Arabidopsis thaliana: one gene and its partners. The protein of the gene in region 3 interacts with the protein of the main gene of each other region in a pairwise test. Each region holds a gene or a part of one and is shown on either strand. Other genes may lie near its edges. The genes, in order: ARCK1, SUA, PPR2 and AT3G22550.

Region 1 (7,025 bases), on a different chromosome or scaffold from region 3:
TTTATGTATGTTTATTCAATATTGAGGTAACAAAGAAGCATTTGACACACTTTTCACCCAAATAGTACAATTACAAAGGCCTCTTTATCTGAGTGATGAGTGATGAGTGATGAGTGATGACAGTGAAGGTGTCATTAGCATGTGTCTAGATCAGACTATGTTGATTCTTTTTATGATTTCTCTATTTGTTATATTTTGTATAGTTATAAATTATTTTGTATGTTTACTATGTGGTTATTTAATTACATGTACGTACTTTATTAGACAAAAAAAAAGAATGATATTTTAGTTTTTTTTTTGAAGCAAGCCAAGAGGGTTAAAAATCAAAACTAACTATAGGTGTTGTTTACACATACTGTATTTACCTGTTAATCAGTTTTTAATTACTTAATTAAGCCATATCCACATGACTAGAAGATATCTTTAACTCAGATTGCAACATTTATATATTATGTTTTAGTTATTGATATTCTTACTTCATTATAAATCCAAAAGATCAGCAGAAGATTGATACAATTTTTATTAGATCACAATACTATAAGCATTATCATTAAATTGTGAGAAATCTAGCTTAGACATTTGCTTCTTAATTATTTCCTTTAATTTGACTTGTTTTTGTTTTTGATATACTGATTTGATTTTTGAAATTTTAATTTCAGTATACCTAAAACAGTAGAAAGATATCAAAAGCGAATACAAGATCTCGGGTCTAACCATAAGAGAAATGATAATTCACAGGTAACCAAACTTCATAGAATTGTTAGTTTATCATGGTTATTTTCATATATATACATTTGCTAAAAATATACTTATCCAGAGCTCAAGTAAAAAGAAATTCTATATCAATATCTAGTACAATTTTATGGTGTAGATCCTTTGGTGTACCACTTTTAAAAAATTAATATACATGCTAAAGTGTATGCTTTATTTATCGAACATGGGTGATAATTTTTTATATTAATATTTGTACTTACAATTTTGGTTAAGAAAATATGTTTTGCATTTCTCATGATCAAACCTTGTTGACAGCAATCGAAGGACGAAACCTATGGCTTGGCGAGAAAGATCGAACATTTGGAGATTTCGACACGGTTTTTGAACTCAAAATACTTATACGAATATTTTGTTATGAATGTAACGTTTACATTGTAAGCGTCTATTTACCATATGTTTAAAAAATATATACATTTGCAGAAAAATGATGGGAGAAGGACTTGACGCATCTTCTATAGAAGAGTTACAACAATTGGAGAACCAGTTGGACAGAAGCTTAATGAAAATAAGAGCCAAAAAGGTAACTTCTAGATTATTGTATATGTGATCATTTCTTAGTTTTAAAATAAAATCTTCACTCTTATCATATGGTTATTGTTTCATCGAGATTTATGACAATGACGTGGTGGCCGCCTGGTTCGATTATCACAAATGAGTTGATTATGTAAACAATATAAACATGGGATCATCCTATAAACACTCCAAATACACACATACACACACACACACACACACACACACACTTGGAGGCATGCATGCATGCATGCATATGTGTTGAGAAAAGACTTATATGTTATCTTCTTCTTCTTTTTTGTCATCACCTTATATGTTATCTTTAATGAGTCTTTTACCAACTAATTTAGCTATTTAATTCCTTAATTTCAGTACCAGTTATTACGAGAAGAAACTGAGAAATTAAAAGAAAAGGTAACATGTAGCTTTTTTATTAATTTAGTACAAATGTATTGGTCAGGTACTAATCATATTTCCCATAATTAAACGGTTAAACCATATTTCATGGTTTATTGTCAATATTTTAGGAGAGGAACCTCATTGCAGAAAATAAAATGCTGATGGAGAAGGTACAAATTAATATTAACTTACGGGCTGATTTATGTTCTCAATTCTCATTCTATTATTATGAAATTATCTGCTTTTTTTCAAAAAGTGTGTTTTAATTTGAGGAAATGTGTGAATGAAGTGTGAGATGCAAGGAAGAGGAATAATAGGAAGAATATCATCATCATCATCAACATCAGAACTGGATATAGATGACAATGAAATGGAAGTGGTGACTGATTTGTTCATTGGACCTCCTGAGACTCGACACTTCAAAAAGTTTCCTCCTTCAAACTAACATATATAGTACAATGCTTATATAGATATTATGTAGGGAATTACTTTTTTCCCTGAAGAAAAATTGATGTTACTTACTGAATTTAGCAGTTGCATAAAAAAAAAGATTACTGCATTTAAGCTTTGCTTTTTTTTTCTTTTTGTTTTTTTCTTTTGTATCGTCTCACCCAACTTTGCAATCCTAAAATAATTTCAGAATAAATTGTTTAACAGGTTTTTTATTTAACATAATTTTTTCATATCTTTTTAAAAATAATTGTTTAGAATATAACTAATTTGATCGATATATTATATGTTCGGGACAAGTTCTTGGAGAGTGAAAACAAATCCGGGTGCGTAGCTAGGTCGGTTCCCTATAATGGCTTTGCGGATAAGATCTCCATGTTTCATGCTAGACATGAAGATGATGTATGATTTATATACGAATAATGGGTCAGTTGGAAAGATTTTTGAATCCTAGTAGAGGTATGGTCTTTTGAACTCGGGAAAAGTTGCATTGCACCGACCTCTTAAAGTCCTTTTACACTTGGTCTAGACCCAAAAATCGTTGGCTTTCTATGATCGGTCTTTGTCAGCGTGTCATTTACGTGACGTGGTTGGTTTGGTTCGAAATTTCTAAGTAGCTGAAAATTCAGTTCCGTTCCTTCCAAGAACATCATCTTGAAGTAGAATTCTTTGTGACAAACAAAAAAAAATGGTAGAATTCTATGGTTATATATATATATATATATATATATATATATATGTTTATTATAACAACAGACCTAATATCTTCTATGTTTTATGTAATATCTATTTATTTTTTGTTATTTATTGAACCTACATACAAATAAAACAAAACAAAGTAAACTTCTAAATAATATATTTTTCATTTTCATTTTAGTTGAAATATAATTTGATTTTCAATACCAAACTATATAATATCAATATTCAGAATAAGTTAATTGTTACGTATTAAAAACAATGCAAGAACAAATGAAGAAGCCAAAATATCCAAAATGAATAGTAGAAGTCAAGGTCAACATAGTGGACTCTAACAATATCAACGAAGTCAACCGTTGAAGAAATTAAATAACTTGTCTAATAAGTTCTTCTTTTTTCTTGGATTAAATACTTGTTTGAAGCAAATTCAGAGACACTGTCTTCGTCTTCATCTTTGCTATGGCCGTTACTTCGCTTCTCGATACCGTTTTCCGACGTAGAAAGAAGAAGTCTACTGAGTTTATAAGCTGTAAGTATTCATGTTTCTTCTTCTCAAACCTTTTCCTCACATCTGTTACAAAACACACAAAACTATGTTTAATTCTACTTGTCTCTACTAGATACAGCAGTTTTCGAATTCGACTTGGACACCATTAAAGCTGCAACAAATGATTTCTCAGAACTGGTTGGTCGTGGCGGATTTGGTTTTGTTTACAAGGTTTGTTTTTAGTGGTTTCGTACGTTGGTTCGTTTTTAGTGTATGGTAAGAAATTGTAATTAAAACATCCTTTTAAATCATTTTCAGGGTAGGCTTCAAAATGGACAAGAAATAGCAGTCAAGATTTTGTCTACAAGTTCAATTAGAACTGAGAGACAGTTTCATAACGAACTTATTATTTTGTCTAAGCTTAAACACAAGAATCTGATCAATCTTCTTGGTTTCTGCACTAAACGAGACCAACATGGTCTTGTTTACGAGTTCATGCCTAACTCAAGCCTCGATTGTTTTATACTCGGTTAGACAGTTTAAAACAGAGTACCCTTTCCAAATACAATCTAGTCTAGTATCAAGTTCTCATCATTAGTCATTGTGGTAATGTGTTACAGACCCACACAGAGCTGCTCAGCTAAATTGGGAGATGTGCCGAAACATTATTGATGGCATAGCTCGAGGGCTACGTTACCTTCATGAAGAATCCGGGTTATGGGTCGTTCACCGCGACATTAAACCTGGAAACATTCTATTGGATTCAGATTTGAAACCGAAAATAGTGGGATTTGAATTGGCGAGGACGATGCAACAAGGTGAAAACGCAGCTGAAACAACTGAAATTGTCGGTACCGTGTAAGTGAAGTTTTGTGATTTAACATGCTTGAGGGTAAATGTTTTGAAGATGTTTAGAGTGTGATGTATAAAACATTTTTTGATTATCAACAGAGGGTATTTAGATCCGGAGTACATACGAAGCGGACGTGTTTCCGTCAAATCTGACGTTTATGCCTTTGGAGTTACAATCTTGACGATCATTAGCAGAAGGAAGGCTTGGAGTGTGGACGGAGACTCTCTAATCAAATATGTGAGTTTATATTTAAGTAAAAGTTTGTATGATGGTAATTAAGTGGTTCCTTAATCGTATGAATTGTCTTCTTTTAGGTTAGGAGATGCTGGAACAGAGGAGAAGCCATAGATGTGATCCATGAAGTGATGAGGGAAGAAGAAAGAGAATATTCGATAAGCGAAATCTTGAGATACATTCACATTGCTTTGCTATGTGTGGATGAGAATGCTGAGAGAAGGCCGAATATTGATAAAGTTCTGCATTGGTTTAGTTGTTTCTCTACTCCTTTACCTGATCCAACATTTGGTAATAGATTTCTTGTAGAGGAAGAAACAAATTGGCCCTGGTCGCCATCTTTATCTCCTGGTCACAGCTCTGTCACGTCACCCATATCTTCACGTTAAGGAGATTGAGTGCTCTGTTTTATTAGACTGACGAGAGTTTATGATGAAAAGAATTGTTGGTTGATAAGTTCAAGTCGTAATTTGCTATTGTCTTCTTCTTTTTGTGCCCAAATCCAGTAAGACCATTTAGGACGATTCAACAATTATTTGATTACTTTGTTTTCAAATGACAAAGAATAAAATATTTTAAAGAACACTCTCAGCATCACATAAGCAGTTTAAGTAAATACTCTTATCTAATAAATCAGGGGATAACCAAGTGTCGTTAGCTCAATTGGTAAAAACCCTACACGAAGCTTATAGGTCGCCGGTTCGAGTGACACTTGAAACGAAACTAATATTACATGTTGTGGTTTCGGGCCTGGAAGATTACAGGCTTCGGCCCAGAACCTCCTGGTATTAAAAAAAAATAAAAAATAATAATAATTCAGGGGATATAGCAACATTTTTACCAAGTATTGTTAATGTTCATCGCGCTTCCAGTTCTGTTTGCGTTGCTTCGTTTATGGAGAATACGTAGTCTAGCTGTTGATCCCCGTTCAACACGTTTGAGAAAGTTGGTTGTTTCGGAATCGGAAGAGTGTTATCGTTGCTCAACATATAAACGATTTGTGAAATCATGGGTCTATCTTTAGGATGATCTTGAACACAAAGAAGTGCGATATGAATGCACCGCATCGCTTCTTCTAAAGAATACGAACAACACATTGGTTCATCTATAATGCTTACACCTTTTGTTTCACACCAAGATTCCCATTCCTGAAGATGATCAACAACATATAGTTTGGGATTGATCTAAGGTAAGTTACGTTTTTATATATGGTAGATAAATGATATTGAACTATAGAAACACTTACATAAGCAATAAGGCTGTGTTTTTGGTCGTTATGAACAAACCTTGTCGCCTTTTTACCCGATATGATCTCCAATAACAACACTCCAAAGCTGTATATATCCGATTTCTCTGAAATCACTCCACCTAATGCATATTCCGGTGACATATAGCCGCTGAAATTAACCGCTTATGAAATTTAATCCAAAGATTCTAATGTAAATACATATAGGTAGTGATTGTTTTTTCCTTTGCATTGACATGTAAAAATTATGTACTTACCTCAGCACAATGTTTTAGTTTTTTCAAACATCATTCATAAATAAGTTGCAAAGACACTAGGAATGAAAAAAAAAGTATGTGTGTTATAATACTGAGAAACATAAACTTAAACTCAACATTTTAGTGTTTGAAACAAGTGGATACATAACTAACTATACGAGATGTACACTTACAATGTCCCGACGATTCTTTGGGTGCTATCATCGATTTGCTTGCAACCAAAAATCCTTGCGGTTCCAAAATCTGAGATCTTAGGATTCATCTCATCGTCAAGTAGAATATTGCTTGCCTTAAGATCTCGGTGAATGATCCTGAGACGTGAGTACTCATGCAGATATTGAAGTCCTCTTGTCGTCCCATTTACTATTTTCATACGTGTCTCCCAATCCAATTCCCTAGACTTTAAAGAATCTATATAGATATATATATATGTGTGCCCAAAAACAGAACGTTAAGAAGTCAATTATTTATATTTCAAATTCAAATGTAGTAGTTTTGGATAGTTATATTCACCACTCACCAAAGAGTAAACCATCAAGGCTCTTATTCGACATGTACTCATAAATTAGGAGCTTCTCATCGCCTTCAACACAATACCCTAAAAGCCTCACCAAGTTCTTGTGTTGAAGCTTTATGATCAGAACAACTTCATTCTTGAACTCTGTCAGACCTTGACTTGATTTTTTTGAAAGCCTTTTGATTGCCACTTCCATCCCATTTGGTAGCTTTCCCTGCCCATCAAAGTTTCTATAGTAAGATTGTAACGATGATGATATTCAAACTAGCTACTTTGTTTAAACCTTTAGCCAAACAAACTTACAAGCTCAGTATTAATTGTATTGTTTAATTAATACCTTGTAGACTGGACCAAAACCACCTTCTCCTAACTTTTTTTTCCTAGAGAAAGAATTTGTTGCAACCATTATGTCATGTAGATTTAGGTAACACATATTTTCTCCAGCATCATCAATTAGGCCACCTTCTAATAGCTCTCTGCTATGTTTTTCGTCTGCGTATAATTCGTGTTTCAGAAACTAGTGAGAAATCTTGTATAGTGATTATGCAAAAAGCTAAAACCGATCTCACCTCTTTGTTTCTTTTTTCTTCTTATTCTTG
Region 2 (10,645 bases), about 18 Mb from region 3:
CTCGCCGTGTCTCTCACCTTCTTGACTCCAACTACAATACTGTCACACCACAACAACCACCGTCTCTTACGGCGGCGGCTACTGTATCTTCTCAACCAAACCCACCACTCTCTGTTTGTGGCTTCTCTGGTCTTCCCGTTTTTCCTTCAGACCGTGGTGGTCGGAATGTTATGATGTCCGTACAACCAATGGATCAAGACTCTTCATCTTCTTCTGCTTCACCTACTGTATGGGTTGACGCCATTATCAGAGACCTTATCCATTCCTCAACTTCAGTCTCTATTCCTCAACTTATCCAAAACGTTAGAGACATTATCTTCCCTTGTAACCCAAATCTCGGTGCTCTTCTTGAATACAGGCTCCGATCTCTCATGCTCCTTGATCCTTCCTCTTCCTCTGACCCTTCTCCTCAAACTTTCGAACCTCTCTATCAGATCTCCAACAATCCTTCTCCTCCACAACAGCAACAGCAGCACCAACAACAACAACAACAGCATAAGCCTCCTCCTCCTCCGATTCAGCAGCAAGAAAGAGAAAATTCTTCTACCGATGCACCACCGCAACCAGAGACAGTGACGGCCACTGTTCCCGCCGTCCAAACAAATACGGCGGAGGCTTTAAGAGAGAGGAAGGAAGAGATTAAGAGGCAGAAGCAAGACGAAGAAGGATTACACCTTCTCACATTGCTGCTACAGTGTGCTGAAGCTGTCTCTGCTGATAATCTCGAAGAAGCAAACAAGCTTCTTCTTGAGATCTCTCAGTTATCAACTCCTTACGGGACCTCAGCGCAGAGAGTAGCTGCTTACTTCTCGGAAGCTATGTCAGCGAGATTACTCAACTCGTGTCTCGGAATTTACGCGGCTTTGCCTTCACGGTGGATGCCTCAAACGCATAGCTTGAAAATGGTCTCTGCGTTTCAGGTCTTTAATGGGATAAGCCCTTTAGTGAAATTCTCACACTTTACAGCGAATCAGGCGATTCAAGAAGCATTTGAGAAAGAAGACAGTGTACACATCATTGACTTGGACATCATGCAGGGACTTCAATGGCCTGGTTTATTCCACATTCTTGCTTCTAGACCTGGAGGACCTCCACACGTGCGACTCACGGGACTTGGTACTTCCATGGAAGCTCTTCAGGCTACAGGGAAACGTCTTTCGGATTTCGCAGATAAGCTTGGCCTGCCTTTTGAGTTCTGCCCTTTAGCTGAGAAAGTTGGAAACTTGGACACTGAGAGACTCAATGTGAGGAAAAGGGAAGCTGTGGCTGTTCACTGGCTTCAACATTCTCTTTATGATGTCACTGGCTCTGATGCACACACTCTCTGGTTACTCCAAAGGTAAAATAAACATTACCTTTTAATCACTCTTTATCTATAAATTATTTTAAGATTATATAGGAAAGATATGTTCTAAAAAGTGGCTTTTTTGGTTAATGATTGGGGAATGAACAGATTAGCTCCTAAAGTTGTGACAGTAGTGGAACAAGATTTGAGCCACGCTGGTTCTTTCTTAGGAAGATTTGTAGAAGCAATACATTACTACTCTGCACTCTTTGACTCACTGGGAGCAAGCTACGGCGAAGAGAGTGAAGAGAGACATGTCGTGGAACAGCAGCTATTATCGAAAGAGATACGGAATGTATTAGCGGTTGGAGGACCATCGAGAAGCGGTGAAGTGAAGTTTGAGAGCTGGAGGGAGAAAATGCAACAATGTGGGTTTAAAGGTATATCTTTAGCTGGAAATGCAGCTACACAAGCGACTCTACTGTTGGGAATGTTTCCTTCGGATGGTTACACTTTGGTTGATGATAATGGTACACTTAAGCTTGGATGGAAAGATCTTTCGTTACTCACTGCTTCAGCTTGGACGCCTCGTTCTTAGTTTTCTTCTCCTTTTTCACAAACAATGTGCCCATAAATAGATTTACCTGTTTTTTTTTTGTTATGTATCAAAAAGAGAGGATTTTTTGAAGTCAAATTGTTCTCACTCACACTCTGTATTGGCTACCTGATTGGTGGAATACATAGAAGTTAATCATGAAGATTAGAACACTTGATATTGAAGAAAACACTTGAAAATGGTACATCAATAATAAAAATGATAACACGTTTAACTGAAAAATCATTTACAAATACACAATTCTTTTGAAGGCTACCATTTTTTTTTTTGGGAATTGTTATGTATTTTTTTTTTAGCAACTTGAATTGTTTTGGTTTACTTTTTTCCAAAAAAAAAATATATACATGTTGTTTTTTATTTTTGTTATGGCAAAGAAATTGAGATGTTTGGATTTTTCAATTAAAAAAAAAAAAACTCATCTACGCCTTTTCATATTTCGCTTGAACAACAACGAAACCCTAATCTGGTTAAAGTTGGATTCGGCCAAGTCCACCACCGTGGAGCTCTGAATTCATTTCTCTTGTAATTCATCGATCGCTGTTGAATATTTTCAATTTGAGTTCCCACGGTAGAAACCATTCCGATTTATACGGCTACTTCATCGCTCGAGCTCTCTCGTTTCTGTATCGATCGCAGCGTATCTGATTTGTCACCGGTTTCAGGCTTGTTTCTCTGACCTCTGGTTATCGGCTCCCTGATTTTGCGCTCTATCTATTAATCAATCTCTTATTCCAAGTCTTTGTTCCGCTGTTATCACAGCTCATCTTCATCTTCCATTCACTGGTGTCTTTGGTCCGGCGTCGTTGTGCTGCTTTCAGTTCATCACAGGTATTCTCATTTTTACCTGTTTCTTTTTTATTGAGGATTTCGTGGATGTGACCAGTTCAAGTTTTTTGTATGTTACTTTGTATAGCTTTTAAGACTCGATTACTGAGAATTTAGGCCTAATCGTCAGCTGAAAATATAATGATCTCTACTGTTGTATGCATTCTTCTCGTGCTTTTGTTACTTCATCGCCAATGCATGTTTTTCTACTCTGAGAGTGAGAGAATCTCTAGCTAGTTCCTACAAAGTCTCTTTGTGATCAGTGTTGGGAATTCTTAATTATATATGCATTAAGATATACCTGTCTCAGACTCTATACGTGATTTTCAGGAAAGAGCTTTAAATATTAAGCTTTGAATATTCTCTCAGACCATCAAAGATTTGCTTGGTGCACTGGCCGGAAATGGATCCTAGTCGATATGGTCGTCAGCAAGAATGGGATAATAACAGTGTAATTGTGGTTTTCTCCTTACATATATGGGATGATAAACAAGATATTTTTAGGGATGTTATGAATCTCAACTCATCCGTGGAGTGAGAGACTTGGGAGAGTGAGGATGTGGATGGGATTTGGCTAATGTAATATCCGTCAATGATGTTTGTTGCTGACATAGCTTATTCTCTTCAATTCACAGGCTCCGGAGGGTTATGGTACTCAGCATGATCCAAATCATCGGTGAGTGCTAGTAAAATGGATTACATTGATGTAGTTGTTAATTTGTTATTGCTCATGGGGGTATATTTATTTTAGCTACTGTAACTAAATTGTATTTCTTGTACTTTATTTGGTTTGGTTACTTGTGCCGAAATATTCATGATAGTTCATATTTCATTTTTTTAATATCTTTTCTGTACCTATACTACATTGCTCTTACAGGTTTGGCGTATCATATGATGACGGATATCCTGATGAAAGGTTGATGCGGGATGATGTCTACAACTATCCACCTGGACATAATACTCTGGGTGACTTGCCTCAATCTAGAAAGCGAAACTATGAAGAAAATTATCCCAGTGAACTTCGCAGGCAAGAAAAGCCTTACATCGATTCAAATTATGCTGCTGACTATTATCATGATAGTGAAGCTGGGAGTCGTAATGGACATTACCGTGATCATGAACACGAAAGGTCGTCCAGATATGATGGCTGCGATGACTATTCTTGTAATGATAACAACTATAGATCGAAAAATTACCATCATAGCAGAGATGATGGTCGTGAAAAAGATTATGATTATACTCGCCGAAGTTATGATTCTGAGTATGAAAGGGCCAGTGTGAGAGATGGCAGTCGAAAGAGCCGTGATCCGCAGGACAGAGAACGGAATTCTCGAGATAGAGAATGGGATTCACGTGATAGGGAGTGGGACAAAAGATGTTACAGCCGCGAAAGAGATGAGAGTCCTCATAAGAGATATGAGAAGTCACGATCTCGATCTACCGGACGTGGGGAGTTCTCTAGATCAAGATCTCCTAGAGGTCGGAGCCATGGGCGGAGTTACCGGGAGGACAGCTATGAGGGGGATCACTGGAATGAAAGTGAGAGGCGAAGAGAATATGAAGATAGACATAACCAGGATCATTTTTCTGCTGTATAAAATATTCTCTCATCCCTGGTCTATATTCTTTTGTTGCGAAGACATTTAAAAAATCCGTTCCTATATTTTTATGGTTTTTGCTAGACCCCATCCGCCACTGTTGTTGTGAAGGGTCTCTCTATGAAATCAACAGAAGAAGATCTATACCAGATTCTGGTAAACTCTTCATTTTTTTGAATCTGTATGTCCTCAGGTTTAAACAATTTTTCATGCATGACTTCATTATTCCCATGTGCATGCTAGGCTGAATGGGGTCCTTTGCATCATGTTCGTGTTATTCGGGAGCAAAATTCTGGGATTTCTCGTGGATTTGCTTTTATTGATTTCCCCACGGTGGTATTTGCTTTCAACTAATCTGTTAATTCCTTGCGCTTTTTCTTGTGATTTCTTCAACACTGTGTGCATTTATGTATTTTGTCTGAGCAGGATGCCGCACGCACCATGATGGATAGAATTGAGCATGATGGTATAGTTTTGGATGGAAGGAAACTTATGTTCCATTACAGGTCTTTTTTTAAATAAACATAAGACTTTGATTGATTTAGATATTACCTATGGAGGGATCATAGAATTACTACACATTTAAATTATTGTTTCTTGACCGTTTCAGTATCAGAGTATAACATTCTTACACTAAATTGCGTGTGTTGTAGCAGCCAACCTACTGGTAGGGCTGGTGTGTCCCGTAGGCAGGAACATGCTTCTAGACGCAGTTATGGTGGAAGTCGAAACATGATAGTTCCCACAGATTGGATCTGTACAATCTGTGGCTGTATCAATTTTGCGCGGCGAACCTCTTGCTTTCAGGTTGGTGCATTGTTTTGGATGAAAGTTCTGTAAATTTCATTGTCAGGACTAGAGTATAAACCCATCTGTTAAGAACAGAAATTACATATATTTAATTACCGGAAGAACTACTCATTGTTTGGTGATTCTAGAGTCTCAAACAAAGTGATAACTACTCATGATTTGGTGACGACAATACCTTAAAAAAAATAGAACCGATAAAACTTTCAGAATATATCTGTTTTTTGCTCCTTAGAGATTATTTGCAGTTCCTTTTGGTGACGAATATGTATCATCAATTGACACTTTGTTTGAGACTAGGGTGGCATACATATTTTGGTAGTAATGGTAAATGAACATTTTAATTTAATGTCGACACATTGATGTCCATACCTATGCTAGAATGTATTTGTTTGCATATACAATAGTTTGTTTGGAAATAGAGAAATTTCCATTTTTCAAATGTCAATAAAAAAAGAAGTCAACTAAAACCCTTTAACTGATCTTTTTTGATGGGTTTTTAATTTATCTTTCCTTCTATTTACTTAAACTCTGTGAAGTCTTTATCAATAGTTTAATCTTGTGGTGGACAATTGTATCTGTAGCCCTTCTTTGCCATGCCGCTGTCTGTGTCTTGATTTATGATAGAACACTCAAAAGTCCTAAGTTCAGTTATAATATGGAATAACAAATTTGTGGCCATTGCATAAATGTCTGTGATCTCTGTCTCCTTATGCAGTGTAATGAACCAAAGACCAAGGATTCTCCTTCAGCGGATGTAGGTTTATCAAACTCTGCAGCAGGAAAACGAATTTCTGAGACAGGTTCTGATCAGCATTTTTATTTAAGATGTTTTAAATTTCTTTCTTGAGTCAGAAACAGTCGCAACTGTTAAGGCCATAGTCTTTGTACTTTTCTACATGCCATATATACCTAAGATACATTCTGCTTATTTTCTTTTCCAGGTCCAACTCATGTCCTGGTTGTACGTGGGTTGGATGAAGATGCTGATGAGGAAATGCTTCGGTATGAATTTTCCAAACATGCTCCTATCAAGGTTAACAAAAACCCTTTTGGATTCGTTGTCTATTAAGATATTGTACTTTATATGTCAGTTGACCTGGTTTTCCTCTTTCCGCCATTTTGTAGGATCTTCGTCTTGTGAGAGACAAATTCACTCATGTTTCACGAGGATTTGCATTCGTGCATTTCTATTCGGTAGGGTCTCAAAGCCAAGTTGGTTGTTGAACTTACTCCTTAAACTCTCTCTTCTGCTTCGCTTTTCCCTTACTGATGATTTAAATTGCAAGTGTGCCTTTTGATCAAAGATTTATTCGATTGTGTAGAAATTAGAAACCCAGTCTAGATGATCAGTACCACCTGGTTTTTATTCTGCTTGTGAAGAGTGATTATGTTTTATAGTTTTTTTTTTTTATAAATGTTTAAGTGTCTCTTTAGTAATCATGATCTACTAGTTTTGTGGGTATTTTTGGCAATGTTTGGTGGTGAGCGCACTCAATCATTTATTTTGTCGTACTTTTTTATAATCTACATTCGACAACCACCTTTTGCATTGACTTGTAAAAGCTCTTGTAGTAGATTATTTATTTCGTCACTGATTCTCTTACCAATTTCATATCTGAACGGTGATCAGATTTTGTAGTAGAACTGCTTGATATGTCCAAATATCTATTTTCCCCCAGTTTATGTGTGTATTTGACTTTTTTTTAATCCACCTACCAACTTGAAACAGAAGATTATGATTATGTTCGTGTAGGTTGAGGATGCTACTAAGGCACTTGAAGCAACAAACAGAACAGCTCTTGAAAGGAATGGTAAAATTCTTAGAGTTGCGTATGCAAAGAGTGTTCATGGTTCTGGAACTGGTATATCAGCACCCTCGCACTCCAACAACCTCGCTGCTGCTGCAATTGAAGCAGCAACGTTTTCTCAACAGGTACTTGAAGATTGTTTTGATCCAGTTTCCCTCGTTTGTATTGGTGATCACACATTGATCATTTAATTAAATTTTCCAGTATCTTTAGATGAGGATTGTCATTCTTATGATTCTTCTACTCCATGTGCCCTGACACTCATGTTGGTCCTTATTAGTATGACGGTGTTGGATGGGCTCCAAAGGAATACAATACTGGTGAGAAACAAAACACTGGAGGGCAGGCCCAGGGTGTTGGGGAAATTGAATCCCAGAAAGGGACTTCTGCTCCACAGTCTGGCTATGTGTGGGATGAAGCATCTGGTTATTACTATGATGCGGCTTCTGGATACTACTACGATGGAAATTCAGGTCGGCATTTACTTATATTGTTATTTATTTCTTTGAATTGATTGTATGGTTGGGTAGCTGCAGCTCTAATTCCCATATCTGGCATTGCAAAACATGTAATGGGCAAAAGTAAGATTGATCCTGTTGGCTGGTTGTATAGTCCTGCTATAGATGTATTCTATTATAGGATAACTTCTTGGCAAAAATAAGTCGTCAGCTCTGGTTTGTTCAAACTATCCTGTTCTTTTTTATGATTGTGGAATTCTTATACTATGTATGCACCAAACTAGCAAACATCGAGATACAATCAATCAATCATACAAGTGTATGTCTTAATTAGACTTTTAAATAATGGCTGTAGGGATTCAGCAAGTGTTATATGATTACTATTATGGCTGCTGTTGGACTTCCAATGGAAGTTTTTTCTTTTAGTTATTGCTGAGTTATGCCTTCTTATATATGTGTATGTGCCTTAAAATTTCGCATCTGATATGGCACAATGATAGACTGTTTTAATGATCTTGGTTATCACTAGGCACCTCTTCTTGGTGTGTGGTGATGGGAAACTTGGTTTCACTGGTATAAGAAGTGGGTAATATTCTCTATTAATCGTATGTTTCTAAATATACAGGTCTCTATTATGACAGCAATAGTGGGCTTTGGTACTCGTATGACCAGCAAACACAACAATATGTTCCTTGTCCTGATCAGAACAATGAGAGTAAAGTAACAGAAAACCAACCAGACTCTGCCAAGAAGGAGAAATCCAGTCAACAAAAGGTTATTATCTCGGCGGCTACTACCCCTAATGTAGAAAAAGTTCTGTCCTTACCAGATGCGGTTCAGGCGGCTGCTGCAGCAGCAATTGCATCAGAGAAGAGAGAGAAAGAGAGAGTGAAAGAGATAAAACTTGCATCAAAGACTAGCCTACTCGCCAGCAAGAAAAAAATGAGTAACGTTTTAACAATGTGGAAGCAGCGGAGCCATGAAACCCAAATACAACGTCCCTCACCCTCACTTGGTGACAATCCACCTACAGTTTCGGCTGAAGCAAGGTCGTCTTTCTCCACTGGACAATCCATGGGCAAACTGAAATCTGATGTAATTATTGCGAAGGAGAGAAGTACCTCCAATCATGGAGTTTCTGCCCTGACAACTGCAGAAAGCTCGAGCAGCAGTACAACAGGAGGAACTTTGATGGGGGTGATGAGAGGTTCTTTTGGAGGAACTTTGGGTGGAGCTTCTTCTTCAGCTAGTGTACAAATGCCGCCAATATTACCTTCTGCTTCTCCAGCTTCGGTTTCAGTTTCTGGGAGTGGGAGAAGAAGGTTCTCTGAAACACCGACTGCAGGGCCTACTCATAGAGAACAGCCTCAGACATCATACCGGGACCGTGCTGCAGAAAGAAGAAACTTGTATGGCTCATCAACATCAAGTGGAAATGATGTTATTGATTCAAGTAAGAGCCCTTGACTCTAGACTTTTCTAAAAATAGAATCCTGAAATGAGGTTTTTATTGTTGTTATAATTGGGAAAATGGTTCGTTTAAATGAAGGTGAGGATTTAATGGGGTTGAGGAAAGGTTCATCGGATCCAACACCATTTCCTCCTGGTGTGGGTGGACGTGGGATTACAACAAGCACCGAAGTCAGTAGTTTCGATGTGATTACAGAAGAGAGAGCAATAGATGAGAGTAACGTGGGAAACAGAATGCTGAGGAACATGGGTTGGCACGAAGGATCGGTAACTTTAAAAACCAGAAATTTGATTGATGGGTAACGTTTATATGTTAATGGTGATTGTTGGATTGTGGTCAGGGTTTGGGGAAAGACGGGAGCGGAATGAAAGAACCGGTGCAAGCGCAAGGCGTTGATAGGAGAGCAGGACTTGGGAGTCAGCAGAAGAAAGTTGATGCTGAGTTTGAGGTTCAGCCTGGTGACACTTACAGAACTCTTCTCCATAAGAAAGCACTTGCGAGATTTCGTGACATGTCTGACAATAATTGACTCTCTCTGTGTGTAAAGTCAGTTGGAAACTTCTAAATTCCGTTGTGCTTAAACTGTGAAAGTGATTTTGATTTTGTTCTTTTTGTTAAATTATTATTAATGAAAAGAGACAGATTAGTACTACTTGAGTTTATATGGACCTTAAAACCTTTGTATTATTAATGTATCTGGAGGCAACAACGACCCGAAGACAACAACAGTATTTAAAAAACTTACCAAAATAATATATGCTTTCAAAGCTTTTAATTACGAAAGTTAGCTCACAAAAAATATCAGATAAATACAACTGTTTTTGAAAATTTCAGAATTCTATTTTGTTAATGAATAATAATTAATTGTTATTTCATGCTCATGCACATTAATAACCTAAAAAGTATTGTTTGCAGGTGTTCGAGAAGAATATATGCATTGATGTATATCAATTTCTAGGCATTACTTTTTTTTCATCATAATTGTTAGTAAAGGTGACATGTAAAACTAGTTAATCTCGTGTCTGTCATTGGCTCTTCCCAAAAACAGATTGGTTAATACGTTAGTTGGAACCATTGTTATAATGGCTGGGTTTAGTTGCTGCCGGCTATTTCCGGATAAATGCCTCAAAAGATCTTTCAGTGAATCCACCGTGATTTGCGTTGTCATAACGTGAGATGCAAATGAAGAGCTTTTCTCTGTTAATTTAGTTTTTACACAACCCTATAAATATAGTTTTACACTTAAAACCCATACCAATTATTTTTGAAATAAGTTGGTATTGCCCAACTTTTTTATCAAGGTTTTTTCAACATGAAGAAATGTGAGTTTTTGATTGATTCAAGTAAACGTAAGTTTTGCAAAAGGGATGAAGGAAATGTGATCACTGATTTATTGATTTGAATATTTTGATAGGGTTAATAACAGGAGCAGTGGTAATAGTGTTGATTGGATTAGGGGCATGGGCTATTGTTTCCATTACACCTCCACCTCCTAAGAGATGCGGAACCCCAGGTGGACCGCCTATTACCGCCCCTAGGATACGTCTCAGCGATGGCCGTTATTTAGCCTATGAAGAACATGGAGTTAGTAGACAAAATGCCACTTTCAAGATCGTCTTTATCCATGCATTCTCGACATTTAGGCGTGACGCTGTTATCGCCAACCGTGTTCGCCCTGTAATGATTTGATATCTTTCTCTCTTACTATTTCTCTTATAGAGTATTTCTGTAATTGCATTGTTTGTCTCTCAGGGCTTTCTCGAGAAAAATGGCA
Region 3 (7,026 bases):
GTAGCAACTTTTAAATTTATCAATCATATATAGAAAAACTCTTTTTTGTTTTTGTTTTTTGTTTTCTTGAGTTGTTCACATTGGTTAAAGTCGTGATAGAAATACTATAATCTTGGTTTCGATCCACATAACAAATCATCTTAAACAATAAAACCACCGCAGATTACGACTATACATTGTTTGTCTAAAATTCTGTTTAAAATTAAATTGTCGGTTATCCTTTCTTAATCTAATCCTTTTTATAGCAAATAAAAATAACAAGTCTAACTAACACACTGGGAGCACAATTATTACGTCCTGGATCAACTATTTTATTACATTATATCGTGTTTGTAACCGACATTGATATTTATAAATAAGAATGTGGCAGTTAATTAGGAATAACCATCTTTTTTTTTGTCAAGGAATAACCGAATCTATATACAAATGAAATGAAAGAGCACAAAAATTCCAAAAAGAAGCTTTGATCCAAATAGTTTTGGACATGGATGGCATCGTAACATCCCCCCAAGAATATACTCGATCAATTATTGGTCTCCTTGTGAAATTTTGTTTTATTTGCTCCGAAATATTGAGTTTAGTTTGAGATGGTGCCAACGCGTCATTAATCACTATTGAACTAAAATAGAGGCATTAATTAAGTAGTTATAAACTCGTTGGAAACAGAAAAGTTTTAAATCCTCATGTTAGAAGTGATGATTAAGAAGGAATAAAATATGTAATCGGAACATAAAATGTGTATAAACAAAAGAGGCAAAATAAACTTGTAGAGAAGATTAACCATATGATGGATGGATATACATAAACAATATTCTAAAAATTGCGGTTTTCTTAAAAACCTTATCGCATAAAACACACAATCCAAGTCGTAGGGTACACGTTTACCGCCGCACCGACATTGCAATTTCTTTAGGTCTCATTTTACCACATCTCCCCAAACTTACGTGCTTCCACGAAAGTATCTATATTCTTTTCTTTTTTTATAGGGAAGAACAAAACGCAAAAAGAGTTTCGTGTGAATCATCATCACTTGGTCTTATTATTATTGCCATAGTTGGATTATACATAATTTACAAAGTCAAATGTCTTTCTTTTTTTTAGCTTTTCTGTACAATGTCAGCTAACAACAACAATAACAGTAACAACAAGAGCTGACGTTATTCACAAACATAGGAATCAAACAAATGGATTATTCAGAGTGCGCTTCGATTTCGATATGAAGCGACAAATCTTTTGTTAGCCGAAAGTTTTCTCGGTGCTGTAGCACATGTACAAGAACCCGTCTTCTTCCTTGAAAGTATTGTAGAGAGAGTCCATGCGACTAGCTGCATAATTCAAGACAAGTGTTAATGGAAAGCTTTGGAAAACTGCAGGTAAAGTCTCACTCTACATGGATGATGATACTTCTTATCTTACCGGTTTGAGGAAGAGTGTTGTGTACGAAAACAAAGAGAGCTTTGGATGGATCTAACTGCATCCTTTTGCTTAGCATATGGATGAAATGTCCAACAGTCATGTCTCGTGGGACCAAGTATCTACAATAAACAAATGCGGGATACAGAGTTAAAAACAAGATTATTCACAGTTAGACAGGTTACACTTGGTTTGGTCCAACAGCTAAATTGATGTCACAACTCACTTGTTCTTCTCCATGTCTGGCAGATCTGCGTTTGAATATTTCTCAATGATCACCTACATAAGTAAATAAAACCCATCCATAAATGCTGGAATCTGATGAAGAAACCAAACCAAGAACAGATCCAAATCCCTAAATCAAATTGGTTTGGGTTGTTGTTGGTGATAGATCAAATCTCAACTAAAGAAGTCGTCTCCGACATTGACCAGAGTGATTGGATCAACACCAAACCGCACAAAATCAGTCAAATTTCAGATCCCAGATCGTATCCATCAAACCATGGCGAAGAAATTCTAAGATTGAAACAGAGATTCTAGCAAATTCGAGAGATGCAAGTCAAACGAAGACTTTTTTTTAATTGAGTAAATCATTCGAACCCTAAGGAAATCCACAATCGCACGGCAACTAAGACGGAAACACCAAGAAACAAATCAAACATGAAATTTATGAAATAACTTACAGGTATTCTATCTGGATATTTCGCAATGATGTTGTTCGACTCCTTCAATCTCTCATCTATATCCTCAAACAAAGATGAAAACTTTGCTTCAGAAGCACATTTCGAAGGAAAAAAAATTCCAAAGAATCAGAAAGAGATTAACGAAGAACAAACCAGAGGAGAATTGATCCTTGAAAGACTTGACAACAATCCCCATTACAGATTTCACGACGAATGATTCCTGACCGAATCGGTGTTTTTTTGTTTGCAGAGAGCAGAGGAAGAGGATGTGTTCAATTTTATGTTTGGTTAGTTCGTTTTTGATTGTTCGAGAAGAAACGGTAAAAGATGAGAGAAAAGAGATTATTTATAGAAAGACGACACGCACTTATCCACTTTTTGGACTTGTCCGATTTCTTGTGCACGTCACAGTTTATCTATGGGCCTCTATTCATAATTTTGGGCCCATCAAAATATATAACACGCATAGCTGCAAGAACAATCAAGTGTATTACAAACTCTTTTATTCTACTCTTTCAAGTGAGACATCGATCTCTCCTTGCAGAGAGAGAGAGAGAGAGATTCACACACAAACCGCAATCATCCTGCCGGAAGATTCTCCATCTCTTTTGTAGCAACAGTGCGATCCATAAGCTTTTGCCTCTCTTGTTCCAAGTAATAGATCTTATCATTCATACCTTCTTTTTCATACGCCTCGACCATGATCTCAAACGTTCTTGAATCGCATACGCATTGTCTCTCCTTCATTCTTATGTACACTCTTTCCATCTCTATCAGATCATCTGCTTTAGCACACGCTGATATCACCGCGTTGTAAAAGGCAGTATTCTCGGGTATCTCAAACTTAGCAGCCAACTGAACACTACTTATCACCTTGTGGAAAAGACCGGCATTGGCATATCCGTTTATGAGACAGCAAAAGGTCTTTGTGTCTGCTTTCATACCTTCGCTACGCATCTGATCAAATGTCAACTCCATGTTCTTTGCATCACCAACATCCGCAAACGCCTCGATGATATTGTTGTAGGTTGATGTTGTCCACGGAAACTCTAGCTTTCGCATGTATTCCATGACAGACGACATCTTATCATACATTCTCTTCTTCCCATAAGAACCAATCAAAATATTGAAAGTCCGAGTCTCTGGCTCAATCCCAAAGTTCCTGAACTTTTCGTACCAGCTCTCCATCATGTCTATCTTACCCATGTTTCCAAACACACTAAGGATGATATTCATAGTCCACACATCGGGTTTGCAAGCAGTACTCACCAACATATCAGACAAAACTTTCTCCATCTGATCAAACCTTCCGACCCTACCGTACCCACTTAAAACTATGTTCTGGGTCACAGTGTTTGGAGTTATCAAACGCTCGTCCATTTCCTTGTATAACGAATCCACCAAGTCAAACTGAGAAGCATCCACACAAGCCTTGAGCAGAGTGCTGTACGTGAAAACATCAGGTTGGCATTGAGGAAAGCTTTTCATTTTATCAAGAATTGAAAAAGCATCGTCGATGAGATTGCTGCGAGTGTAAGCAGCGAGAAGAGCAGTGTAGAGTTCAACAGTTGGTTCAAGTCCTTCTTCAAGCATTTCGTCGAACAGCTTCTGTGCACGATTGGGTTGACCAGATTTACCGAGAAGAACAAGCAGCTTCATGTAAGTTCCTTCCTTTGGTTGATAAAATGTTTGTTCCCTCAACATATCAAAAACCTAAGATCATCAACAAAATACCCAATTCAATCAAAATCATCTTTCAGCTAAATTATACTCGTGATTCAAAATTGAGTTCAAATTCAATCAAACATGAACGAGAAGAGAGAAAATCGAAATACCTCGAGAGCTTGTAACCACTGCTTTTTGGCGATGAGATCGGACAAAGTTTCAGTGACGGTGTTAACCCATCCGTTAGCTTTGCTTCTCCTGTCAAGTTTCTTCTTCACATTCTTTATCGGAGTTCTTCTCTGATTAACCGGCTCCGTGATTCCGGGGAATTCGCCGTCTTTCCAAAGCCTCTTCTTCGTAACACTTCCCGGAGAAGATTTCGAAGCAGCCAAAACGCATCTAACGATGCCCACATCTCTGTGACGAAACCTACGCTTACCTTCGGGGATTCTGGATGAACATAGCGAAGAAGAAAAGGAGAGAGACATTGACGCCATCGTCTTCTTCCTTCACACCTCACTGTCACTCTGTTTACGGATAATTCCCGTCGATACTCATTTCGGTTGGATATGGTAAAATACCGGTTTATATAACCGAACCGGAAACACATTTGATCCGTTCAAATCCCTTAAAAACCGGATCGTATTTTTAAATATGATCACATAATTGATCATTTAAAAATAATACGAGGCTATTTTTTTGGTGTTCAAAAAGATAAAAATAATAATATGAAGCTCGCATCTCTGTAAGTATATATATATATAAAACTAAAAGGAAAATCACGAATTATAGTATCAAAAATAGATTTAATAATAAAAATAAGGATTGGTGACTGGTGCACAAAAGGTGGTAACAAACAAACACAATCTTGACTAAATTCTATAGAAATATCCCAAAGAAAAAAAAAACAAATCCAGAAAAATATTGTATATTGATTTTGATGATGTCGATGTTGATGTGCAGATATTACTCTTTTATCTATTGCTTCCGTTGGAGTTTAGTTTTGTGGCAACAGTCTATTGTATGACTATCTGGGGATTTGGGAGTTTATCCGGCCGGCAAGCATACATTCATTGGTGTTGTTTGCAACGTTTACAACATTGTTATCATCTATCTTTTATTTACCATAGTAAGCTCTCTCTCTCTCTCTGGCTCTCACTTATTGATGAATATATAGATAAGTAAACTATTAAACTGGTTTTGATAAGTTTTTAATGCGTGAAACAATTAGGACAAAATGCCGCCGGAGACTAAGACCTTCAAGTACATGCCGTTTTGGCTATCGTTAGTTCGTTTCATCAACGCTGGAATTTGGACTGCTTATTCTTTGATCTACATAATTGATATCTACGTCCTTGTAAGTCCTTTTTTGTTTTTGTTTTGATCTACATAATTGATATCCTTTTTTGTTTTTGTAAGAAGGGCGAGCTAAAGAGTTTGAAGAGCTTAAAGGCGAGCTGAAGAGCTTAAGGCGAGCTGAAGAGCTTGAAGACGAGTTGGAGAGCTTGAAGACGAGCTGGGGGACTTGGTGAAGAGAACGAGTTGATAAGCTTGACGAAGAGGAGCGAGCTAACGAGCTTCTTGAGAAGGGCTCGCTGACGAGCTACTTGAGAAGGACGAGCTGACGAGCTATTTGAGACGGACGATCTTCGTGAGACGGGCGAGCTGACAATGTGCTGTCTCGGTGATAGTCAAGCGAGACGACACGTAGTCCATATTAGAAAGGGGTCAAGCCACACGTAGTTCATATTAGAATAAGTGAGCTAGGCCGTCATTGGAGGTAGGTCGGCAGGTAGTTGACGAGCCGGCAGATGTGCGACAAGCTGGATGAACCGTGGTAGAGAGACGAGTTGGATAAACCGAGTTGTTTGCTGAAGGTCTAGACGAGCTGGACGACGAGATAGGTGGACTATGCAGTCAATGGACGAACTGCCGCTAGGCGAGGAGGTAGATGAGTTTTGTTTTCGAGGGATGAGCTGATAGCTAGACGAGGAGTTGGACGAGCTGTATAGATGACAGCTAGACGAGGAGATGGTCGTTGAGTGGAGCATGAAGACGAGCTGAGAAGCTTGAAGACGAGTTGAGGAGCTTGAAGACGAGCTTAGCAGCTTGTTGAGCTTAATGGCGATCTGAAGAGTTTGAAGAGCTTAAAGACGAGTTGGAGAGCTTGAAGACGAGCTGAGGGACTTGGTGAAGAGAACGAGTTGATAAGCTTGTCGAAGAGGAGCGAGCTAACGAGCTTCTTGAGAAGGGCTCGCTGACGAGCTACTTGAGAAAGGCGAGCTACTCTGTGTCTGCGTGTCAGGCGGAATTCCCCCCTTCGACATGACATGCTATTCCGTATTTATAGCACTACGCGTGTAGGGCATTCATCGAGGGATTTGACGAAACTACCCTTCGCCTTAATACTCCTCCTTGGTTTGGAACTTATTTTGGGCTTTTGACTTGGGTTTGGGCATTGGGCCAAGTAGGCCCAATCCGACCCCTAATAGTTCGGCAAGGAGGAGTATATGATTTTAACCCCCCCCCCCATTAAATCTCCTGATACGTATTGAAACTTGAGGGTTTATGGTTTATGTTATGTTTCACTTATTTTGATCGTGTGTTGAGTTTTGTAATGAGGATATTATTATCATGTCTGTTACTTTTGGACTTGTTAAATTTTCGTAAACGTTGTTGCTTTTGTTGTATCGGGGCACACTTATCCGGATTTATCGATTATGCAATTGCCCTACTACATCACATTATTATTTAAATTTGTCTTCAAGTTTTTATTTCGCATAGCACATATATAAAGAAAACGCTTCGTTCAAACTCGTCTGTGAACTCCATAAAACTTATTAAAAAATCCGTCCAAAAAAATATATAGTATAGTTTGGATCGCATGAAAACATATCTAAACATAAGTCTTTGTTAGGGGTCGGATTGGGCCCTTCTCAAGTAGTTCATCAGCTCGCTCCTCTTCGTCAAGCTCTTCAGCTCTTCAAACTCCTCGGCTCGTCCTCAAGCTCCTCAGCTCGTCTTCAAGCTCTTCCCATCACAGCGACCATGTCCTCGCCGCCTAGCTGTCAGCTAGTCAGCTCGTCCAACTCCTCGTCTAGCTATAGCTCATCCCTCGTCAACTACCTGCCGACCTACCTCCAATGACGGCCTAGCTCACTTATTCTAATATGAACTACGTGTGGCTTGATCCCTTTCTAAGGGTACGTAGGCAACCTTTTACAAGGTTCAGCTATAAAACGAATAAACTCTATTCTTCCTCGGA
Region 4 (7,421 bases), 6.0 Mb from region 3:
TAACCTATTAAAATCAACAAATTAGATTTGATCTCTAAATTATCATATTAATTTTTTATTAATTATTATAGTTCACTTCTCATCTTTATATGATTCTATTTTTGCGAAAAATAATATCATCATTATAAAAAAAAAAATTAGAGTTTTTTCGCATATGCCATAATTTGAATTTTTGAAAACGAATATAAACTGTTCAATACATGAAAAAATATTATAACGGGTCATAATTTGAAATATTTATATTCAATTTCATACATATTATATTGAAAATTTATAATCTTATATACTACAATAATTAATAACATATTAGATTTTTTTATGTGTATGATGTGATTCAATTTTTAATACAAGCTGGAAAATCGTAGAATTGACGGGTTTAGATCGATATTAATACAAGATGGTATACTACATGTGAAACTCTTAAATTAACAATCAAACTACAAGTGTATAATCTTAAACACTAAACAATATAGATAATATCAACAAAACATATACAACTCACAATTTACTTTTAATATTTTATATACAAAATCAATTAAATCTTAAATTAAATCTTAATCACATAAAAATTAGCACAAAAAAAAGTATTCAACAATTAAAAATTTATCAAATCTATGTGTTATATAAGTTTTGATACTATATTCGAATAAAGTGTAATATACCTTTTCAATTTGTATTATTTAACTAATTTAAGCTAACTAATATATTTGCTAATCTTATACCTATCAAAACCGACTATCGTTTCTTATCTCTATACTATTTTTGCAAGACTTTTTTGGTGGATTTGGGTAAAAGTGTATTCGGGTCATATGGTACATTCCCCTATTAAATAAAAATGGTATACTCCTATGTTATTAGCTAAAATGTTTAGATTATAATTCAGAGTCATATTATTAATAAAATTAATATTAATAAAATAAATGGCTTTTTGGCAAGACGGATTTGGAGTGACGGGTTTTTGAATCAACATTAATAAAAAAAGTTAAATATAATTAATATACCGTTTCAATACGGGTTAAATCTTTAATTTATTATTTTTTAAGACCACTAATATTAAACATATCAAATCATCCTAATTTAGAAAAGATTATATAAAACCAAAAATGTTATGGGGTATGTATAATGTTACTATATATAAAATATAAATGTATTAGAGAATGATATAATTTGCAAAACTTTTATATTCTTAAATTTTAAAAATTACTACTTTAAAAAAAAAATCACGGGACGGGTAAAGAAATTATAGAACGAGTTTTATTTTGTAATTGGGTTATATGGTGGATGTATTTGAATCAATATTTATAAAATTTTAAAATATTATTAATATGCTGTTTTAATAGGGGTTACAACTTTAGTTTTTCAACAATTGTCTCATAGATTCGTGTTATAGCCTTACTTAATAACAATTATAAACTGTAAAATATAAATATTTTATAAAAATAAAATTTGCAAATTTTAATATATATTACTTTTAAAAAATAAATCGTCCCGCGGTATACCGCGGGTTAAAATTTAGTCAATTTTTATGGAACAAGAATAAAACCTAAAACATTAAACTTTATGGACCATAGAGTATGTAGTAGCAATTAATAGTGTTTGTTTAAAGTAATGATTATCAAGTTTGCTCATACGAATTTATCACTAGTTTTGGTTTTAAGTAGTGATATTTTTTTCGTGTTATACATATATAATATAACAAGTGTGTAATGTCCACCCAAAGAGACTAGCCAGCTACGAAAGCAAAAGAGATATTCAGTTAAGATTGTGAAATATATTCGTACGTATGATCGTATCTCATTCCATTACGATTCTGAGCGACCGAGTCCACCCACACTTAGCTCCCATGCTAACAATATAGTCATCATCACCACCACAACGTACCTTAACATCATTACACGAGAAAAAGTATATATGAAATAATGATTTTAAAAGAGAACCAAAAGTTCTCGTATTCATCATCTCTATTTGTCTCCCGTTGAAGAAACTAGCTTAGTTCGTGTTTATATGAGTTACTCCCGTTGAAGAAACTGCGGTTAAGAGAAATTTTTGATGGATAAAGTTATACTTATAGTCACGATAAGAAGATATGATCGATAAATCCATATACATATGTGACATTATTTTACTAGCAAAGGATCTCTTTCTGTCTTTCATATCCCATCTATAATTTTAGATGAAAATGAAGTAGAATAATATATTTTGTTTCTACATTTCCATCTCCAAAACAGTCTTCTTCAATATCTTTCTTATTCACACCTTTTAAATATGTAATGTTATCACCTAACAGTAATAGACAATTTACTTAATCACCATATGCAAGTGAGAAGTACATTTTTCTTCTATATTAAATGACATGCAAGACGTAAACAACTTTGCAAACTTCTGTTTTGAAAACGTTTTAGTACACTATAATGTGAATTTCTAATCAAAATACGAAAAGTTATATAATACTATAATACTTAAAATAAATCACATATATTTCAATATTTGTGATAGTACATTAGTACTCCTCCATTGATAGATTAGTCGTAACTAGTACGATATACAACACGAGTATTATTCAACTTCTTTCTCATTAAATTTCTAAAGTTCCTTTTCTCTAAAATAAACAAATAAAATAATATAGAAAGAAAACTATAAGAAAATTCCAAAATAAAATAAAAAGACGAAAGGGTCAGTAGAAAACGACGTGAGTGGTTCCTTGGCATAACCCAAAAAGCAAAATAATAAATCAGCAAAGAATAAAAAGACAAAATTCCTAAAATCAATAATAATTTATACAATAAAACGAATTTAGGAAGTTTCACTGGTGAAGTGGTTTTCTTCACCCACTGATTTCTATTGTAAATCTCTCTCCCTCTATATATGTGATTCATATAAGTATTATTATTTGATAGAGAAGCTAAGTGTGTGTCTCTTTAGTGCTCTCTGTTTTCTTCTGCTTATGAAAAAACTTCATGGCGAATTTTGAGGATATGGAAGAGAATCAGTGGGGATGTTTTGTTTTCTTTTCTCTTTCTCAGTTCATCGAAACTATAACCCACTAAACATACAAAACCAAATTATTTATAAAAAGCAAAAGCAAACAAAAACAAATAAACGGATCAATTTCTTTCTTTTGTTTGTTTCTTCTTCTTTTCTCCAATCTCTAGTGTAACGTTTCATGTCACTTGATAAATAAAATATTTTAGGAAGAAAGTGCGAGAAACTCGGGAGTTATACAAAAAAATAACATTTTTGTAGAAAAAAAGCTCTCGTCTTTTCAGTTACTTTTCTCTTTTGTCACACTTTCATATTTTTTTCTCTAATCATGGAGGCAACAGAATTGCATTAGCTTCATTTTCTCTCATACTTCCACAACCTGTAACTTTCTGATCTTCCAGGTTAGTTCACACAATTTTGCATGATTGAGTTACAAAGTTATGATTTTTATGTGTTATTGAGTTACATGTTATGATCTTTTTGTGTAATTGTTATAAAGTTTTGATTGTTATAAAGTTTTGATCTTTTTTGTGTGTGTGTGTGATTGAGCAGTGAATTATGCTAAAGAAGAGATCAAGAAGCAAGCAAGCTTTAATGGCGGAAACAAACCAGAGTCAGAATCAGAAACAGAGTAAAACGACGCCGTTTCCGAGGCTCTTCACAGCTTTTAGTAGCTTTAAAAGCTTCACTGAAAACGACGCCGTCGCGAGTCCAACTTCAATTCTCGACACCAAACCTTTCTCTGTTTTGAAAAACCCATTTGGATCCGATAACCCGAAAACCCAAGAACCCGAAACCCGTCTCAAACTCGAACCCAAAAGAATCGGACTCGCCATTGTCGATTCTCTAATCCAAGACGAAACACCCGAACCCGGACCGAGATCCGGGACAATTCTATTCGGGTCTCAGCTTCGGATCCGGGTCCCGGATTCTCCGATTTCCTCGTCGGATTTCGGGATCAAAACGAGGAATTCTCAACCGGAGACGAAGAAACCGGGTTCCGAGTCGGGTCTTGGGTCTCCCAGAATCATCTCCGGCTATTTCCCGGCGAGCGATATGGAGTTATCGGAGGATTACACATGCGTGACGTGTCACGGGCCTAACCCGAGAACCATTCATATATTCGATAACTGTATCGTTGAGAGCCAACCCGGCGTCGTTTTCTTCCGGAGCTCCGACCCGGTTAATGAATCGGATTCGGATTATTCCCCACCCGACAGTTTTCTCAGTTGTTGCTGTAACTGTAAGAAGAGTCTTGGGCCTCGTGATGACATTTTCATGTACAGGTTTGGCTTATTTTCATATTTTTACATTTCAATTAAATGGTGACATTTACAATGTGAAATTTAATATAAATTATGAGAAAATTAATATTTAGAATGGCTAATTAATTTAATTTTTTAATTAATAATTTTTAAAAATAAATAAATAAGTAATTTTTGTTTTGATTTTAATTTGCAGGGGAGATAGAGCTTTCTGTAGCAGTGAATGCAGGTCCATAGAGATGATGATGTCAGAGGAAAATGATACTAAATGAAATAAGTTTTTATTTGAGCTATATATAAAAAAAAAGTTATGATAATGACTATGATTAATAAAACGTTAGATATGGTGAATTTTGTTTAGTTGCTTTTGTTTTGGTTTGGAGAAGAGTTTGGTATCGGTATCTATGTGTATTATGTGTCTACATGCATAATCATATATACATGTTTTACTTTAATGGTTACTTTTAATCTTTAATAAACAGTAGAGATCACAATAACTCAATTCCATTTGCGGTGTCAAGACAGAAAACTAAAACACGAGCATCAAAATTCAAGAAGGAGAAGACACATAATTCTTAGTTTCGTGTTTTGATACTCGGACATGTAAATTAGTCTATTTCTCGTCTTCAATGTTTGAAATCGTGATTTGAAAATCTCCTTAGATTACTAACTAGTCACCGAGCTATAGATGCATGTATGATTTTCTTACTATAAGTAACTATGTTTTGATATGAAGAAGATAACAAACAATGAAATGACAATCGAACAATGTAAAAGACAGTTGCAAAGATATGTCACATTGAGGATATTCAATGGCTAGTTACGTGGAAATGATGTTATAGATCAAGAAGCTCTATGTGTTTTCACATCCTTCTTTTGTTTTTTCTTTATCTAAGAGACAATGTGATATAAACAACTTGTAGTACTATTTCGAAGAGCATTACACTATTATATAGCCCTCATCTAATTTGAATTGATACATCAAAATCCTAATAATTTATGTCTTACTTGAGTGACTATCTTAAATGAGCACATTGAATTTTATTTGAGATAATAATTATACAAGAATGACTGACACCGTTTCGTTGTCAACATTAAAAACTCTGATTATTTTTTCCAAAAAATGATATAAATTAGTGAGGTACATTATGTTAACCATTAAAATTTGTATAAGATCCTCACCACTCCAATTATAAACAAATTTAAAGCAATTTTGAAAGCTTAGTTGACAAAAAAAAAATATATATATTCAAAAGCTTAAGCCTGTTAAGGGTCAGATTTTTAACATTCTGGATCATGATTTAAGTAAAGCCCGAGCCCGTTTCAATCATTCTTATTTTCGACTGACTTTTATATATAACATGAATTGCGCTCTTAAACGGTCTGGTTCAATCCACAAACAAACCATACTAAACCGAAGTTCTATATATAGTGGATTTCGTTATTATTATGTTTGAAGCTAAGCAATTGGTATGGTTACGATTGGTATTTCTACTATCATTGATTTATTTAGTTGAACACATATCAACTAGATTGTATTTCCATGCACTTAACCTACATAGACACAGATAACACTTATTACTTGTTATATGCTTAGGAATAGTTTACTAGTTTATGTTCCCGCAAGTCCGCAACTCGTAAAAGTCGGACCCATGAAGTCTTACAAAATCCAACTTTGAAGTCAGCTTATGGGCCTACGAGCGGCGGCGTGATTGGCTAATACACGTGGTGGGCCAGATAAAATTCTCTCTTTGACAATTTGTCCTACGAGTGGAGGCTTGATTGTATTTTGAGAGGTTCGTAATTAGTACATTTTTCATTACAGTTCCGGTGAACAATCCATTTGGTAAAAACTGTATAGATACATATGATGAAGTAATTCAAAATTCTCTAAAGCTTCCATGTCTTTAACTCAAGTTTTTCACTATCATATCAGCCAAGTCCGACTAGGCTAATCGCGGATGTAGATCACTCAGTTAATGTGACCCATGACTTTAATCCGGGTTCACAAAATCTTCAAATGAAAGCTTGTCAAAACTCGAGAAAGAATGAGATGTGCGAGAAAGCTCTAGGATAAGAGTTTACAAAGGCAATTTTAGTCCTTTTATATATATATATTACTATTATAGTGTTATCTGATCATTGGAAAGGTGCATGATTAATCCCAACCAAACCACGTTTATATAAGTGCAAATTTGCTTAGTAGTATTTTGAATGGACACCATATTTTATAGCATATCGAAAACAAAATCAAATAAACAAATTCGAGGGGTAACAAAGACAAACCCACATGCATTATGCATACATGTACACGTGAAAATTTTATTTCTGGCTACTACTTAACATGCGACCATTAATTGAATCTTATACTTCATAAAAAATAGTAAACAAAAGTTACTTAACAAAAAAAAAAATGAATATTAGCTCAATTAGGTCAATAAGTAAAGGCTTCTCTGTTCCGCTAATTTTGTCAAAACTCCAATCAAAGCGTCATTGTATTAATTATCAAATCACATGCATGCCCGAACAGGTTGATGATGATAATGAATTTATACAAAATTGTCAAACATATATTTATAACTGAGGTTTTCTTTCTTTGGTTAGACATTTTGTTCAGACAAAACATGTAACCGAAAACAAACTAGCATATGTGATTTACCATTCTTTTTTTTTTTTTTTTTGTTATCAAGATATCCCACAATTTGATTATTATCCATTTTAGGACATATATACATGAATGAGACATGTGATGGGTAGGACAAGCATTTCCATTTTGCTACAAGGTCGAGAGGTTGAACGGAACCCAATGAACCTATTGGACATATGAAACCTGTTCTTGTATCCACCAATCAATTTTTCTACACATACTAATTTTGCTTTTATGTCTCAAGATTTTTACTAGTCACACACAAAAGAATCCAAAATATAAATTTCTATATTCCCTGTATCAGTTCTATGGTGATCTTTTTATTATTATTTTAATTATCTAGTTGGGTTTATAGGCATCCCCACATGCATATAGGTATGGCCCTTTACTAAAACATCGTTGGTCTCATATGCACACATGGCAACTATAGCTGACTCTTGTTTCATTCACAAGATTCATATCGCTTTTAATTGGTTGTGTGATTCATGGTATTATCGTTTTTATATAACATTTTCATGTAATTATAC

The links.
Region 1: the proteins of PPR2 (region 3) and ARCK1 interact in a two-hybrid assay, tested with the Arabidopsis thaliana proteins (one large-scale study listed by BioGRID).
Region 2: the proteins of PPR2 (region 3) and SUA interact in a two-hybrid assay, tested with the Arabidopsis thaliana proteins (one large-scale study listed by BioGRID).
Region 4: the proteins of PPR2 (region 3) and AT3G22550 interact in a two-hybrid assay, tested with the Arabidopsis thaliana proteins (one large-scale study listed by BioGRID).

What each region holds. Positions count from the first base shown.
Region 1 is NC_003075.7:7,144,978-7,152,002, forward strand, and holds ARCK1 (Protein kinase superfamily protein), read left to right. Parts: upstream 1-3,146; 5' UTR 3,147-3,291; coding exon 3,292-3,361; intron 3,362-3,408; exon of another isoform or gene 3,409-3,452; coding exon 3,453-3,550; intron 3,551-3,637; coding exon 3,638-3,848; intron 3,849-3,939; coding exon 3,940-4,177; intron 4,178-4,270; coding exon 4,271-4,409; intron 4,410-4,486; coding exon 4,487-4,795; 3' UTR 4,796-4,948; downstream 4,949-7,025. Other genes in the region: AGL14 (AGAMOUS-like 14), read left to right, coding at 660-738, 1,030-1,091, 1,195-1,294, 1,660-1,701, 1,815-1,856, 1,976-2,131; AT4G11900 (S-locus lectin protein kinase family protein), read right to left, coding at 5,264-5,554, 5,653-5,803, 6,083-6,320, 6,430-6,640, 6,764-6,918, 6,996-7,025. UniProt on the Arabidopsis thaliana protein: Forms a complex with CRK36 that may negatively control abscisic acid (ABA) and osmotic stress signal transduction.
Region 2 is NC_003074.8:20,070,743-20,081,387, forward strand, and holds SUA (suppressor of abi3-5), read left to right. Parts: upstream 1-2,359; 5' UTR 2,360-2,563; exon of another isoform or gene 2,564-2,660; 5' UTR 2,661-2,729; intron 2,730-3,056; 5' UTR 3,057-3,129; coding exon 3,130-3,177; exon of another isoform or gene 3,178-3,361; coding exon 3,362-3,402; intron 3,403-3,603; coding exon 3,604-4,318; exon of another isoform or gene 4,319-4,408; coding exon 4,409-4,480; intron 4,481-4,567; coding exon 4,568-4,660; intron 4,661-4,750; coding exon 4,751-4,830; intron 4,831-4,977; coding exon 4,978-5,131; intron 5,132-5,849; coding exon 5,850-5,934; intron 5,935-6,075; coding exon 6,076-6,167; intron 6,168-6,259; coding exon 6,260-6,328; intron 6,329-6,887; coding exon 6,888-7,067; intron 7,068-7,222; coding exon 7,223-7,415; intron 7,416-8,025; coding exon 8,026-8,853; intron 8,854-8,949; coding exon 8,950-9,137; intron 9,138-9,211; coding exon 9,212-9,400; 3' UTR 9,401-9,642; downstream 9,643-10,645. Other genes in the region: SCR (GRAS family transcription factor), read left to right, coding at 1-1,339, 1,454-1,883; AT3G54240 (alpha/beta-Hydrolases superfamily protein), read left to right, coding at 10,184-10,193, 10,286-10,548, 10,624-10,645. UniProt on the Arabidopsis thaliana protein: Splicing factor that controls alternative splicing of the developmental regulator ABI3. Reduces splicing of a cryptic intron in ABI3, leading to a decreased in ABI3-beta transcript. Regulates the splicing of the receptor-like kinase SNC4/LRKL-2.6.
Region 3 is NC_003074.8:1,953,983-1,961,008, forward strand, and holds PPR2 (Tetratricopeptide repeat (TPR)-like superfamily protein), read right to left. Parts: upstream 4,323-7,026; 5' UTR 4,259-4,322; coding exon 3,932-4,258; intron 3,810-3,931; coding exon 2,676-3,809; 3' UTR 2,427-2,675; downstream 1-2,426. Other genes in the region: ATG8H (Ubiquitin-like superfamily protein), read right to left, coding at 1,237-1,325, 1,417-1,535, 1,640-1,692, 2,097-2,152, 2,250-2,292.
Region 4 is NC_003074.8:7,988,925-7,996,345, reverse strand, and holds AT3G22550 (NAD(P)H-quinone oxidoreductase subunit, putative (DUF581)), read left to right. Parts: upstream 1-2,757; 5' UTR 2,758-3,383; intron 3,384-3,534; 5' UTR 3,535-3,540; coding exon 3,541-4,268; intron 4,269-4,443; coding exon 4,444-4,519; 3' UTR 4,520-4,943; downstream 4,944-7,421. UniProt on the Arabidopsis thaliana protein: May act as an adapter to facilitate the interaction of SnRK1 complex with effector proteins, conferring tissue- and stimulus-type specific differences in the SnRK1 regulation pathway.